Linked DNA regions of Anolis sagrei. The protein of the gene in region 1 interacts with the protein of each later gene in a pairwise test. Links are inferred from orthologs where the notes say so. Each region holds a gene or a part of one and is shown in the gene's direction. Other genes may lie near its edges.

What was found.
Region 2: the proteins of MYO5B (region 1) and RAB11B interact in binary tests that used the Homo sapiens proteins (3 or more experiments, as listed by UniProt). The link is inferred for Anolis sagrei from reciprocal best matches to the Homo sapiens genes MYO5B and RAB11B.

What each region holds. Positions count from the first base shown.
Region 1 is NC_090022.1:287,337,738-287,345,038, forward strand, and holds the start of MYO5B (unconventional myosin-Vb), read left to right. Parts: upstream 1-4,262; 5' UTR 4,263-4,731; coding exon 4,732-4,758; intron 4,759-7,301. UniProt on the Homo sapiens protein: May be involved in vesicular trafficking via its association with the CART complex. The CART complex is necessary for efficient transferrin receptor recycling but not for EGFR degradation.
Region 2 is NC_090034.1:29,324,614-29,331,773, reverse strand, and holds the start of RAB11B (ras-related protein Rab-11B), read left to right. Parts: upstream 1-4,154; 5' UTR 4,155-4,330; coding exon 4,331-4,370; intron 4,371-7,121; coding exon 7,122-7,160. UniProt on the Homo sapiens protein: The small GTPases Rab are key regulators of intracellular membrane trafficking, from the formation of transport vesicles to their fusion with membranes.

The sequences.
Region 1 (7,301 bases):
ACATTAAAATTCATAACAACAGCAAAATTACAATTCTGAAGTAGCAATGAAAATAATTTTATGTTTGGGGACTACCACAATTTTAGGAACTATATTAAAGGCCCATGATATTAGGAAGGTTGAGGACCACTGGTCTGGTCCTACAAAGACACACTAACTTCACACAGTTGAAGTTAGGAAACATATAAACTTGTATCATTGCATCAAAAATGAATCCTACAGAGTAACAAACTTACATATTTATTTATTTTGCATATTTGTATCCTATCCTCACTCTCGAGGGGGGAGTCCGGGCAGCTTCACAACAGGCAGCCATTCAATGCCATCACTCTAACTTACAAAAAAAGAGTTATAATTAAAATAATTTGTTAAAAACAATTATTGACACATTTATTTAAAATCACACAAGTACAACATCACAATCCAGGTCAATCATAATCAAGGTCATAGTCCTTGTATCCATCACAAAACACAGCATGGCTTCTCCAACTCCCAAAATAGAGAGCCAACATGTATCCTAAAATACACCCAGTTATACTCTTACCGGGTGTGGTCCAAACCTCCTGACCTTAATTAGCACCTGCATACAGTGATCACCAGCATGAGGAAGAAACCAGGCACAGATTAACAACTCCCAGCAACAGATTTTCCCAGACTCAGGCAGGCCTTCAAATGCTAATGAAGGTGATTAGCTAACATTCACACCTAACTGCAGCAGGGAAGAGCTCCCTGCCCCACCCCAACCATTCCACAGATATATAAACCCATTGTACTAATTGCAACCAGACCCTCTGAGGATGCTTGCCATAGATGCAGGCGAAACGTCAGGAGAAATGCCTCTAGAACATGGCCATATAGCCCGAAAAAACCCACAAGAACTGAATGAGTTTTTTTCCTTAACACATATATCTATTCCAACCTTGGTACTGATCCTTTCAAAACTCACCCCGTTTTCAGTATACCTTAATATGTTCTAATCAATTTTTTTTAGACTGTTGGTGTGCTACCAATGTTCATGCTTCCATCCTCAGAGTCTAATCCATGTTTTTGTTTGAAATGTTCAGCATAGAAGTTAAACAGATAGGCCGATAGGTCTATTAATGGCTATTAAGTATGATTGCATAATGAACCTCTATATTTAAAGACACTGTACCTCTCAAGTGAGAAGCATGACTCAAAGGCAAGCTTGTTGGAGACCTCCTGGTGACCAATGTTGGAAGCATGATGCTTGGTTAGATGGAATTTTGGTCTAATCCATTTTGTTATATTTTAGGCGGCTTTTCCTAACATAGGTTGAGCTACCATACCAACCTGCTACATTCTGGGTTGTCAGTGGGCCTACTGAGTAAGAGATGATGGAAACTAGCCCAGCACAAATACTAGCCAGATTTCCAAATATTGTTCAATGTCAGGATTACTGAAGGTATGCATGTATGGTTTTTAAATGTGTTTCTATATGATTAAGAATGGTGTTAATATGTATTCAAGATGGATTCTGTTATGTTCAATTATGTGTTGGAATTGTTGTTGTAAGAGACAGAGAGGTACAGAGAGAAGAGACCTTGACAGAAGTTAGATAACATGTTTCTCTGCTGGGAAGAAAAAGGGAGTTTCCAGCTTACAGCCAGAGAGCCTGATAAGCAGATGTTCCGAGACTGTACTGAAGCTGTGCTTTGTAGTTCCTGATTTTGCCCGCTTAGATGTAGACGTGTATTGAAATGTACTTAGCAAACTTTGTTATTTTAAAACTGGAAAACTGCAGAGTCCTGGAATTTTTGGAGTCCTGTGTCTGTTTGATCTAGCACCTCTTCCGCTGCGCATACACCCCCCAAATTTTAACTCTGATAGTTCAGAGGCATCATGATGAACAGGGGCAGTTTTGTGCCTAGGTGTAACGTCCTGTAGTTGATGGTAGTTGGCGTCATGCATAGCAGTTGGTGATGGGTAAAAGAAGATGATGACTGCTGCAAAGGGATAGAAGGGGTTAATCTCAGTCCTGCGTTCTAAAGGTCAGAGTAATCTATCTGTAAGAACTCACAAGCGGCTGAAATCCAAACAGCTGGTAAAATGCAACTTAAGAAGGCACCTTCAGAACCTCTATTGTTTGTAACTTGGGGACTGCCTGGGTAAGTAGCAACACTGATCCCTGGTTAAGTCGACCCACTCCCCCTGAAGACGCAGGTTCGCAGCTTGGGTGTGATCTTGGACTCATCGCTGAGCCTGGAACCCCAGGTTTCAGCGGTGACGAGGGGAGCATTCGCACAGTTAAAACTAGTGCGCCAGCTGCGCCTGTACCTTAGGAAGCCTGACTTGGCCACGGTAGTCCATGCTCTAGTCACATCCCGTTTAGACTACTGCAACGCTCTCTACGTGGGGTTGCCTCTGAAGACTGCTTGGAAGCTTCAAATGGTCCAACGATCAGCAGCCAGGATGCTAACAGGAGCGGCACTCAGGGAGCACACCACTCCACTGCTTCGCCAGCTCCACTGGCTGCCAATTTGCTACTGGGCACAATTCAAAGTGCTGGCTTTAGCCTTTAAAGCCCTAAACGGTTCTGGCCCGACCTACGTGTCTGAATGCGTCTCCTCCTATGAACCAGTTAGGACATTAAGATCGTCTGGGGAGGCCCTGCTCTCGATCCCGCCGGCTTCACAAGCATGCCTGGCGGGGATGAGAGACAGGGCCTTCTCAGTGGTGGCCCCTCGGCTATGGAACGCCCTTCCTGCAGATATTAGATCGACCCCCTCCTTGCTGGCATTACGGAGGAAAGTAAAGACCTGGCTGTTTGAACAGGCATTCGACTAAGCAGTGTGATTGATTGACTATCGGAACACGGAATATCGGATAACGGGTTTGGATTCTGATTTCATTGATGAGACCTGATGGATTTGTTATATTGATGTAGTGATATATTGATGCTTAATGATTTGTGATGCTATTGCTTTTAAATGCTTAATGATTTTGTATTGTGTATACCTAAATTGTTGTAAACCGCTCTGAGTCGCCTAAGGGCTGAGAAGAGCGGTATACAAATAAAGTAAATAAATAAATAAATAAATTTTGGGCCATTCTGAAAGGACAATTTCTGGAGACACATACAGGGATTTCTTTGCTGCCTCCAGGTGTTGCTTGCCTCCTTTGCAATTCCTCCAGGGAGGGATCCTATTGGCTGTTCATTCGTTCAGTCGTCTCCGACTCTTTGTGACCTCATGGACCAGCCCACGGCAGAGCTCCCTGTCGGCCGTCACCACCCCCAGCTCCTTCAAGGTCAGTCCAGTCACTTCAAGGATGCCATCCATCCATCTTGCTCTTGGTCGGCCCCTCTTCCTTTTCCCTTCCACTTTCCCCAGCATAATTGTCTTCTCTAGGCTTTGCTGTCTCCTCATGATGTGGCCAAAGTACTTCAACTTTGTCTCTAGTATCCTTCCCTCCAGTGAGCAGTCGGGCTTTATTTCCTGGAGGATGGACTGGTTGGATCTTCTCGCAGTCCAAGGCACTCTCAGCACTTTCCTCCAACACCACAGCTCAAAAGCATCGATCTTCCTTCGCTCAGCCTTCCCTAAGGTCCAGCTCTCACATCCGTAGGTGACTACAGGGAATACCATGGCTTTGACTAGGCGGGTCTTTGTTGCCAGTCTGATGTCTCTACTCTTCACTATTTTATCGAGATTGGACATTGCTCTCCTCCCAAGAAGTAAGCGTCTTCTGATTTCCTGGCCACAGTCTGCATCTGCAGTCATCTTTGCACCTAGAAATACAAAGTCTGTCACGGCCTCCACATTTTCTCCCTCTATTTTCCAGTTGTCAATCATTCTTGTTGCCATAATCTTGTTTTTTTTTTTTTGATGTTTAGCTGCAACCCGGCTTTTGCGCTTTCTTCTTTCACCTTGATTAGAAGGCTCCTCAGCTCCTCCTCGCTTTCGGCCATCAGAGTGATGTCATCTGCATATCTGAGATTGTTAATGTTTCTTCCAGCAATTTTCACCCCAGCTTTGCATTCATCCAGCCCCACACATCGCATGATGTGTTCTGCATACAAGTTAAAAAGGTTGGGTGAGAGGATGCAGCCTTGCCAGACGCCTTTCCCAATCTTGAACCAGTCTGTTGTTCCGTGGTCAGTTCAGTCCTATTGGCTACAGCCCAAAAAGTATATATAATTTCTCCAAACTTGGAATTTGCTGCGGGGTTCCCTTTGGAGGGAAGGAGAGAGGGAGGGAAGTTTCCTCGTCCAGCAGAGGGCGAAGCCAGCCTTGCTTCCTTCCTCCCTTCCTTCCTGAAGCCAAAGGCAGCCGGTGCGCCAAAGGAGCCGAGGCACCTGCAAAGCCCGGCAAACCAGGCGGGGAGGGAGCGCCCCATTGCGCACGCTTGCTTCCCTACCTGCCTTCCCTTTTACCTGGCGAGGGAGCGGCCAGGCAGCCCCGCCCCGTCCCTCCCCCTTCCGCTTCTCCCTCCCTTTGCCTTTCGTCCAGTAAGTTTTCCCCGGGAGACGGGCAAAGGTCGGGCGCTTCCCTCCGGCTTTGCACCGCCCGGCTCTCTCCTCTCCTCTCTCTTTTCCTCTCCTCTCCTCTGCCCAAGCGCCGCACTTCCTGGGCTCTTCCTCCTCCTCCTCCTCCTCCTTCTCCCGGGCCGGACTTTGGATTGTACCGAAGGGCTTTTCCTCCTCTTTTTGGGGCGCCTTTTTTGGATGCTTCGAGGACTGGGCTCGCCTTGCGCACCGCCCGCCAGGAGGACATGTCGGTGGCGGAGCTCTACACCAAGGTAAGGCCAAGGCCAGGCGTTTGGGGGATAGATACGTGTAGGGCAGCCTTTCCCCTTCCCATTCCCCCCCTCTGTGGGTTTCCCAGGGCTATTTGGGGGGCCTGGGAGCCCTTCTTTCCATGCCCCCCCTCCCCTTCCCGGCACCGCCGCAGATGGAGTTCCCTCCACTCTCCACTACTTTCTTTCTCTGCGCCTCACTTTTACGCTTTGCTTTGGACTTCAAGACAAGGTGCATCCACACTGTAGGGTTAATGCAGTTTGGCACCACTTGAACTCCCATGCCTCGAGACAGTGGGAGCCTGGGAGCTGCAGTTTTACAAGGTCTTCTCTGCCAAAGAGTGCAAGTGCCCCCCTAACTAAACTGCAACCTCCAGGATCCCCATAACATTCAGCCTTTCTCTGCTCAAGAGTGCAGGTGCTTCACTGACTGAACTCCAGGATCCCATAACAGGGAAAGAGGTGCCAAACTCCATTCATTCTGCAGTGTAGATGTGCTCCCAGTGTTCGTGAGGATCTCCGGATTCCTTTCAATGGGGATACAGAGTGAGGATCCCTTATCTGAAATGTTTAGAGCCAGAAGTGTCTTGGATTTTGGGATATTTTCATATCTATATAAATAAAAATGTAATGTTTGTTTGTGGGATTAGCAGAACTCAAAAACCGCTGGGCGAATTCACACCAAATTTGGACACAAGACACCTAACAACCCAATGTATGTCCTTCACTCAAAAAAAATTGATTTTGTCATTTGGGAGTTGTAGTTGCTGGGAATTATAGTTCACCTACAATCAAAGAGCATTCTGAACCCCAGCAACGATGGAATTGAACCAAACTTGGCACACAGTTCTCCCATTACAAACAGAAAATACTGGAAGGGTTTGGTGGGCAGTGTCCTTTGGTTTTGGAGTTGTAGTTCACCTAGATCCAGAGAACACTGTGGACTCAAACAGTGATGGATCTGGACCAAACTAGGCACGAATACTCAATATGCCCAAATGTGAACACTGGCAGAGTTTGGGGAAAATAGAATCTTGAGATTTGGGAGTTGTAGTTGCTGGGATTTGTAGTTCACCAACAATCACAGAGTATTCTGAACCCCACCAATGATAGAATTGGGCCTAACCTCCCACACAGAATCCCCATGACCACCAGAGTGGGCCACAGCAACGCGTGGCAGGGGACGGCTAGTATATAAATAAAAATGTAATGTATGTTTGTGGGATTAACATAACTCAAAAACCACTGGACGAATTGCCGCCAAATTTGGCCACAAGACACCTACTAACCCAAGGAGTGACCATCACTCAAAAATTGATTTTGTCATTTGGGAGTTGTAGTTTATTTATTTATTTACGACATTTATATGACGGCCTTCTCACCCCGAAGGGGACTCAGAGTGGCTTACAAGTAAAAAGTAAATACAATATATTATTATCATAGCACTATATTAATATTATATATTACATTGTGCTATAACATTATCCTGTAATATTATTAGTAATATTTATCGCAGAATAGTTGCGATGATTTATAGTTTACTTAAACAGTATTTCTTAAAATCAAAGAGCATTCTGAACTCCACCAAAGATGGAATTGAACCAAACTTGGCACACAGGACTCCCAGGACCAACAAAAACACTAGCAGGGTTTGGTGGACATTGACCTTGAGTTTGAGAGTGGTAGTTCACCCCTACATTCAGAGAGCACTGTGGACTCAAACAATGATGGATCTGCACCAAACTTGGCACGAATATTCCATATGCCCAAATATGAACACAGATGGAGTTTGGGAGAAATAGACTTTAACATTTAGGAGTTGTAGTTACTGGGATTTATAGTTCACCTACAATCAAAGAGCCCTCTTCACCAGGGCAAGAAAACGTAATCAAAGCCCTCCTGACAAAGAGCCACCCAGCCATAGATATAGATAGATATATATGATTCACACACAGGGAGATATAGTATCATAGATTTGAAAGGGACCCTAAAGAAAGACAATTATGTTGCATGTTCCAGAGTAGGCAAACCAGATACTCTCCACATCAACACTGACAAAGAAACAGGAAGAAATACTGTTTACCCACAAGCAGAAAGAAATTACATATATTAGAAACCAACACTTTCGAATTACTTTATTTTCCAGATCACCAGACTGGGCCACAGCAATGCGTGGCAGGGGACGGCTAGTCTATATAAATAAAAAGGTAATATTGGTTGATGGGATCAATATAACTCAAAAACCACTGGACAAATTGACACCAAATTTGGGCACAATACACATATCAGGGCAATGAGTGACCATCACTCATAAAAATACAGGAAAACACAGTAAAAGGGACTAAAAAAGCCAAAAAAAGCAAAAAGAAGCTACAGTGCATGTACAAAATGACTCCCCCTGGCAAACAAACACACAATAGCATATCCACATTCTCTTCTGGACTACAGTTCCCAGCATCTCCTAGACCAGGCCATTTAGGAGAGGAGGAGGATCCAAATGCCCTTTACATTTTTATTTATATACTAGCCGTCCCCTGCCACGTGTT
Region 2 (7,160 bases), on another chromosome or scaffold:
TTTAAATACTACAAAATTCAGGCCTCTCTCTGGAGCTCTACTTCTCTCCTCCCTCTTTCCTCTGAAGGAACCCAAGGCAGTTTACAAAACCTGTAATTGATTTCTTTGGAGGAAGGAAGGACAATTCAAGTCCCATAGGCCTCCATTCCAGGTTAAGGGCCTTCGGAGGAAGGAGGGAGGAAAGAAGAACGGAGCCATGATCTTCCATTTCTGTGTTGAGAAACTTGATTTGGTTTCCTTTCTCCTCGTCTCTGTGTGTATTTTTCGGTCATATTGACTTATTACTTATTTGTTTTGTTTTTGTACATAATTGTCATGCTGGTTTTTAAAGAGTTGTTTTTATTCTTTTAAAAAAATAATTTTTAAAAGGTCTTGGAAAAATGGGAGTATTGGTGAATATTGTGGTTGTTGTAACTTATGAAAGGTTTGCCTTGGAGCAAAGTGGAGCACAGTGACCTTTCTGGCTCCCTTTGCTTCTGTTGACGTCTGTGGCTTGATTTCTTTTGTAAATTGATTAAAAATTAATAAATTAAGCCTTGCTTTTGTTGTGATTCAATGTCAGGCAATGTCTGCTATATCTTTTGGATGGAGATTCCTTGCCCCTTTGAACTTTTGCTTTCCTAAGCAACCGAGATGCCATATAACATTATTTATTTATTTACAGTATTTATATTCCGCCCTTCTCACCCCGAAGGGGACTCAGGGCAGATCACAGAACACATATACAACAAAAATTCAATGCCGCTATACTCTGACAGCACAGACACAGTGCACAGATAGAGGTATCTAGGCTTTTCCCCATCTTTGGCATCTTGGGGGTTGTGCTTGATTCCGGCTGCGGGGGAGGGGGGCGGTGATGTCACTCCATCCTTCATGCCGAAGAGCCCTGGTCACAGACTTGCTTCTTTTGGTCAATCGCTGGCATTTTTTCTGGTATTCCTTATGGTGCCATTGAAATACCTCTCCGCGTTAGCAGTACCTATTTATCTACTCAGTTGTTTTTGATATGCTAGGTGGGCAGTGAGCTGGGCTGAAGGTCGGGCACTCACCCCAGACCCGGGCTTTGAACTGCCAACCTTTTGATTGGCAAGATTTATTGCAGCTGGTGGTTAACCTGTTGTGCTATTATTATTGGAGAGTCCATATAACTCAGAGGAAACATGCCTAGGATGATGATGATGATGATAGATTCCATTATTATTATTATAGCCTCCATATGGCCATGTTCTAGAGGCATTATTATTATTATTATTATTATTATTATTATTTTTTTTTTTCAGAGGAACCATGCATATGATGATGATGATACATTCCATCATCATTATTATTAGGGATTCCATACAATTCAGAGAAAAAGTGCCTAGGTGCATAGTAGTAGTAGTAGTAGTAGTAATAATAATAATAATAATAATACACCATATAATTTAGAGGAAACATGCCTAAGAACATAATACTAAAATAATAATTATTTCCATATTATTATTATTATTATTATTATGACCATACAACTCAGAGGAAACATGCATGGGATGATTATGAGAGTAAGGTAAAGGTAAAGGTAAAGGTAGTACCCTGACATTAAGTCCAATCATGTCTGACTCTGGGGTGTGGTGCTCATCTCCATTTCTAAGCCGAAGAGCCAGCGTTGTCCGTAGACACCTCCAAGGTCATGTAGCCGGCATGACTGCATGGAGCGCCGTTACCTTCCCGCCAGAGCGGTACCTATTAATCTACTCACATTTGCATGTTTTCGAACTGCTAGGTTGGCAGAAGCTAGGGCTGACAGCGGAAGCTCACGCCGCTCCCCGGAATCGAACCTGCGACCTTTCGATCAACAAGCTCAGCAGCTCAGTGCTTTAACCCACTGCGCCACCGGGGGCTCCACGATTATGAGAGTAATGATAATAAATTCCATTATTATTATTATTATTATTATTATTATTATTGACTCCATATAATTAAGAGGAAACATGCCTAGGAACACAATAAAATTATTATTTCATTATTATTATTATTATTATTATTATTATTATAGACCATACAACTCAGAGGAAACGTGTAGGATGATGATGATGATGATGATGATGATAGTAATAACCGATTCCATTATTATTGTCTCCATATAATTCAGAGGAAACATGCCAAGGACAATACTACCACTACTACTACTACTACTACTACTAATAATAATAATGTGTTTAAGCTTCTTTGGTTTTCTTGATCATCTGCAATAAAAAGGGATTCCAAGCTCTGCAATTGTTGTTATTGCTATGTTCCTAAGCTTATTTCCTCTTGAGCATCCAACCATAATTGCAATAATATAATGTGAAGAGCTTGGGATTGCAAATGGGCAATGAAAAGGGAGACCTAATAATAATAATAATAATAATAATAATAATAATATGGAAATAATAATGTAGACTCTGCAAGGAAGCAGATGAAACAATAGATCGTATCCTCAGCTGCTGCAAGATCGCGCAGACAGACTACAAGCAGAGGCATAACACTGTTGCTCAGATGATTAATTGGAACTTGTGCCACAAATACCATCTGCCTGCGACAAAGAACTGGTGGGACCACAAGCCTGAAAAAGTTACAGAAAATGAACACGTCAAACTACTCTGGGACTTCCGAATTCATACTGACAAGAGTTTTGGAGCACACGATCCTGACCTCACGATCGTGTTAAAAAACAAAGTGGATTGCCAATGTTGCAATCTCAGGCGACAGCAGGATTGAAGAGAAACAACTGGAAAAGCCGACACGATATGAGGATTTAAAGATCAAACTGCAAAGACTGTGGCACAAGCCAGTCAAGGTGGTCCCACTGGTGATTGGCACACTGGGTGCATTGCCTAAAGACCTTGTCCTGCACTTAAACACAATCGGCACCGAGAAGATTACCAGCTGCAAAAGGCCAGAGTCTATCTCTTATCCCCTCTCTCTACCCTTTCCCCTCTCCTCTCTTTCTCTGGTTTTCTTCCCTTTGCAACAGTGTTTTTCTATACAATGTTTTATGTCCTTTTAAAAGCATAATAAAAATTTATATATATATATAAAAAGGCCAGCGTGAGAAAAGCGCAGGCAAGCTGGCTCTCACTGGGATCTGCATGCATTATTTGCTGATACATTATTTGCTTTTAAACAGAGGCTGGATGGCCATCTATCAGGGGTGCTTTCAATACAATATTCCTGCTTCTTGGCAGAGGGTTGGACTGGATGGCCCACGAGGTCTCTTCCAATTCTATGATTCTACATCACACAGTCCTAGACACTTGGGAAATGTCTGACATGTGATCCAATACAACAGCCAGCAGAGTGATCTTGTTTGCTGTGGACTCATCTTGTTGTGTTTCAAATAAAATAATAATAATTCTGCTCCTAGGCATATTTCCTCTGAGATAAGGAGTTTCTAATAACATACACATTTCTATATATGATCTGCAAAGTCTTCCATTGAGTTCCAGAGACTTGGAATATAATCCCTTTCTATATAAAAAAAAGGCCAGAGCTCCATCTAGCGGAAATGAAAAGAGAGCCTCCATTCTTCCCAATGATTTGGAAGGGTTTTGACAGTTTTAATAGAAAAAGGGGCCTCCAAGGGCCATCTTGTCCCGCCCTATGGGGTTTGAATGGGAAAGGGACTTCCGAGGGCAATCTAGTCCAACCGTGGAGGCCCTAGACTCCTCCCTCCTCCATTTTCCCGCCTTTTCTTCTCCCAACCGCCATTAACGCTCGCAGTCCGTTTCCCCGCCCCTTCCGCCTTCTCATTGGCCCGTGTCCTTTTCGCGCCCACTCCAGGAGTCCTGATAAGCCCAGAGCGCCTGCCAATCATCCAAAAGAAGCACACTTAAAAAAACCCCCAACGGCTAATGTTGCGCTCTCTTCTCATTGGCCCTCCCCTTTAGTTTCCACGCCCCCTTCGCACTTCCATTGGTTGGCGCCCACCCCAGGGGTCCTGATAGGTCGGGAGCTCCTGTCATTTGTCCAAAAGAATCACAACCCCCCCAACGGTGAACATTGTGCTTCCTTCTCATTGGCTGTCCTCTTTCGTTTTCCCGCCTTCTCCACCCTCTCATTGGATGCCGTCGTGGCGCGGCCCTTGATAGGCCGAGAGCGCTGCCTTTCAATCTTTGCGCTGGCCCTGAGTGCGCATGCTCCCTCTTACTGGCAGCGGGCCCCGCCCTCCGCCTACTTCGGAGCCTGTCAGAGGGATCGGCCCGCTTCGGCCAGGCCTCGTCGGGCCAGCCTTGCCGCCTCGCTCTCCGCGAACGCCGATTGGAAGCGCAGCCAGCGAGGAAGAGCAGAGCAGAGCAGAGCAGGCGCTGCCATGGGGACCCGCGACGACGAGTACGACTACCTCTTCAAAGGTAGGAGGCGAGGGTCTGCGCTTGGGCTGGGCCCGCCCCCTGCCTTTGGGGGGAGGGGCCAAGGGGCGGGGCTTTGCGGAAACCTCCCCTCGGCTCCAGAGTGGGAGGGAACGAGAGCCGAGGGATTTCATAGCAAGGAGGAGGCGGGGCTTCTGGGGTGCCAGGTGGGAGGGGCTTAGGAAGGCTGGGACCGCCCCCTTCCTTGGCGGCCGGGCTTGTGGGGGGACTTTTTCTTGCTTCACAGTGGAAGGGACCTCGATCTAAGGGGGGTTGCGAGGCGGAGCTTGCCTTGAGGACCTCTTCCTTGGCCTCCGAGAGGGAGGAAGGGGCTGAAGAAGGGTCACTGGAGGCGAGGCTTCTTCTGGGACCTCCCCCTGGCTCGAGAGTGGGCGGGGCCTAGAGCTGAGGGAGAGAGGGAGGGAGGTGGTGGGGTTTGTTCTGGGACCTCCTCCTCGGGCCCAAAGTGGGAGGGAGGGGCTTAGGGAGGGGTAACGGGGCGGGGTTTGTTTTGGGGCCTCCCCTTGGCCCAAAGTGGGAGGGAGGGGCTTAGGAACCGTGAATGGGGCGGGGCTAGTTCTGGCACCTCCTCTTTGGCTCCAGAGTGGGAGGAGCCTAGATCTGTGGGAGGAGGCGGAGCTTGTTCTGGGACCTTTTCCTTCCTCTAAAGAAGAAGGGGCTTAGGAAGGGGGAATGGGGTGGGGTTTGTTCTGGGACCTCCCCCCTTGGTCCCAGAGTGAGAGAAGGGCTTAGAAAATGTAGAATGGGGTGGGGCTTGTTCTGGGACCTCCCCTTGGCTCTAGCATGGGTGGAGTCTAGATCTGGCTTATAATAATAGTTGTTATTTATAATATATATTTGTATATATATACACATACACACACAAATGTAATAATTTATTATTATTATTATTATTATTATTATTATTATGTCCTCCAACTGCCATCCTCTTTCTTTGATTGGCTCATGCAACCAAGGCATTAGGTCAACATGTTTTCCTTGGATCCTTTGCTGTTGTTTTCTTCTTGTAGAACCACCCAAGTTGCAGGTTTCCCATTCTCTTTTAATAGTGCATCAAAGGCCATGTTTGCTTCGGGGCCTAACCTTTCTCAAACAATGGAATAGGACTAGGGAATACAAGAGCAGCACAGCTGCTGTCGGTGGCAACTGACCAAGCTTCATCGTTCCTATGGAAGAACTATCAAGTTTGCTGGGTTTCTGAAAGGTGAAATGTCAACGACAAGAAGCAGTTGTTGTTATTATTGTGGGACTTGGAGGAAGTGTATGAAAGCCATTGTGGTGTTTCAGGATCCTGCCTCTCTGCTGGTGTTTTATGAGTGCAGTGCAAAGTTATGTATAAAGAACGCTAAGAGATAACAGACCAAGGGACACCCAATGAATGAAACTTAACAGTGAATCAAACACTGAGTAAAGCATGGTTCTTTCTTTGCAGGGAAATGCCTGAACCTATTATTATTATTATTATTATTATTAAAATCATGAGATATGGTGTCTGAGGCATTATATCATGACTTTTTAGGCCTGAGCAAAGTCGTATCAATGCCCTACGAACCTCAGTCCAAAGCCATATCTATGCTCTACAAACCCAATGTATAGTCTCTCTAATATATAGTGCCTTCGGCATTCTATTAGATATACGGTGTGCTGGGTTTGTAAGGCATTGATATCACTACAAACCCAATGCATAGTTTCTTTAATATATGATGCCTTTGGCATTCTTTTAGATACACAAGACGCTGGGTTAATAGGGCACTGGTTTCACTACAAACCCAGTGTATAGTCTCTCTAATAAATGGTGTCTTTGGCTTTCTATTAGATATACAATATGCCAGGTTTGTAGGGCATTAATATAACTACAAACCTAATGTATAGTCTCTATAATTTATTGTGTCTTTAGCATTCTATTAGATACACAAGATGCTGGGTTTGTAGGGCATAGATATAATTTTGTGTTGTCGAAGGCTTTCAGGGCTGGAATCACTGGGCTGCTGTGAGTTTTTCAGGCTATATGCATCCTTTCCTGACATTTCACCTGCATCTGTGACTACCGGCATCTTCAGAGATTCTGTTGGAAGTGAAGCAAGTGGAGCATATTTCTCTGTGGAATAATGTCCAGGGTGGGAAAAAGAACCCTTGTCTGTGTAAAGCAAGTGTGCATGATGCGATTAGCAAGCTTGAATAGCTTTGAGGAGCCTTGCAGCTGTAAAGTCAATCAATGGGTGTATTTGCATAGAGGGGGGCTGGCTGTTCTTGCCTAGAGGCATCCTTTGTTTGGGAGGTGCTCAATGGCACTTGGTTGTTTGCTATCTGGAATGCCTTGTTTCTTTATTTACTGTCTTGATTCTGGTGTGTTTTGACCCCATGAAAATGAACAAAATCTGGTTACCAGTATTAAAGAAAACACCAGAATCAAGACAGTAAATAAGGAATAACACTCAGAAACAGGAGAGTTCTAGACAGCAGACAACCAAGTGCCAGTTAACACTTCCCAATCAGAGGGTACTCCTAGGCACAGCAACCAGGCTACCTCTATGCAGATTCCCTCACTGATTGACTTCATGGCTACTCAATGCTGTTCAGTTGCAACATTCACACTTGCTTCAAAAAGGCTTGGGAACCAGGGGAATGAGACACCATTACAGTGGAAAGGTGCCTTCCTTTGAGATCCAGGGGTCCCGACCGCAGAGGTGCCCTGCTTCCCTCCCTCCTTCCTTATTTCCTTCCTCCCTGCAGTGGTGCTGATTGGAGACTCCGGGGTAGGAAAGAGCAACC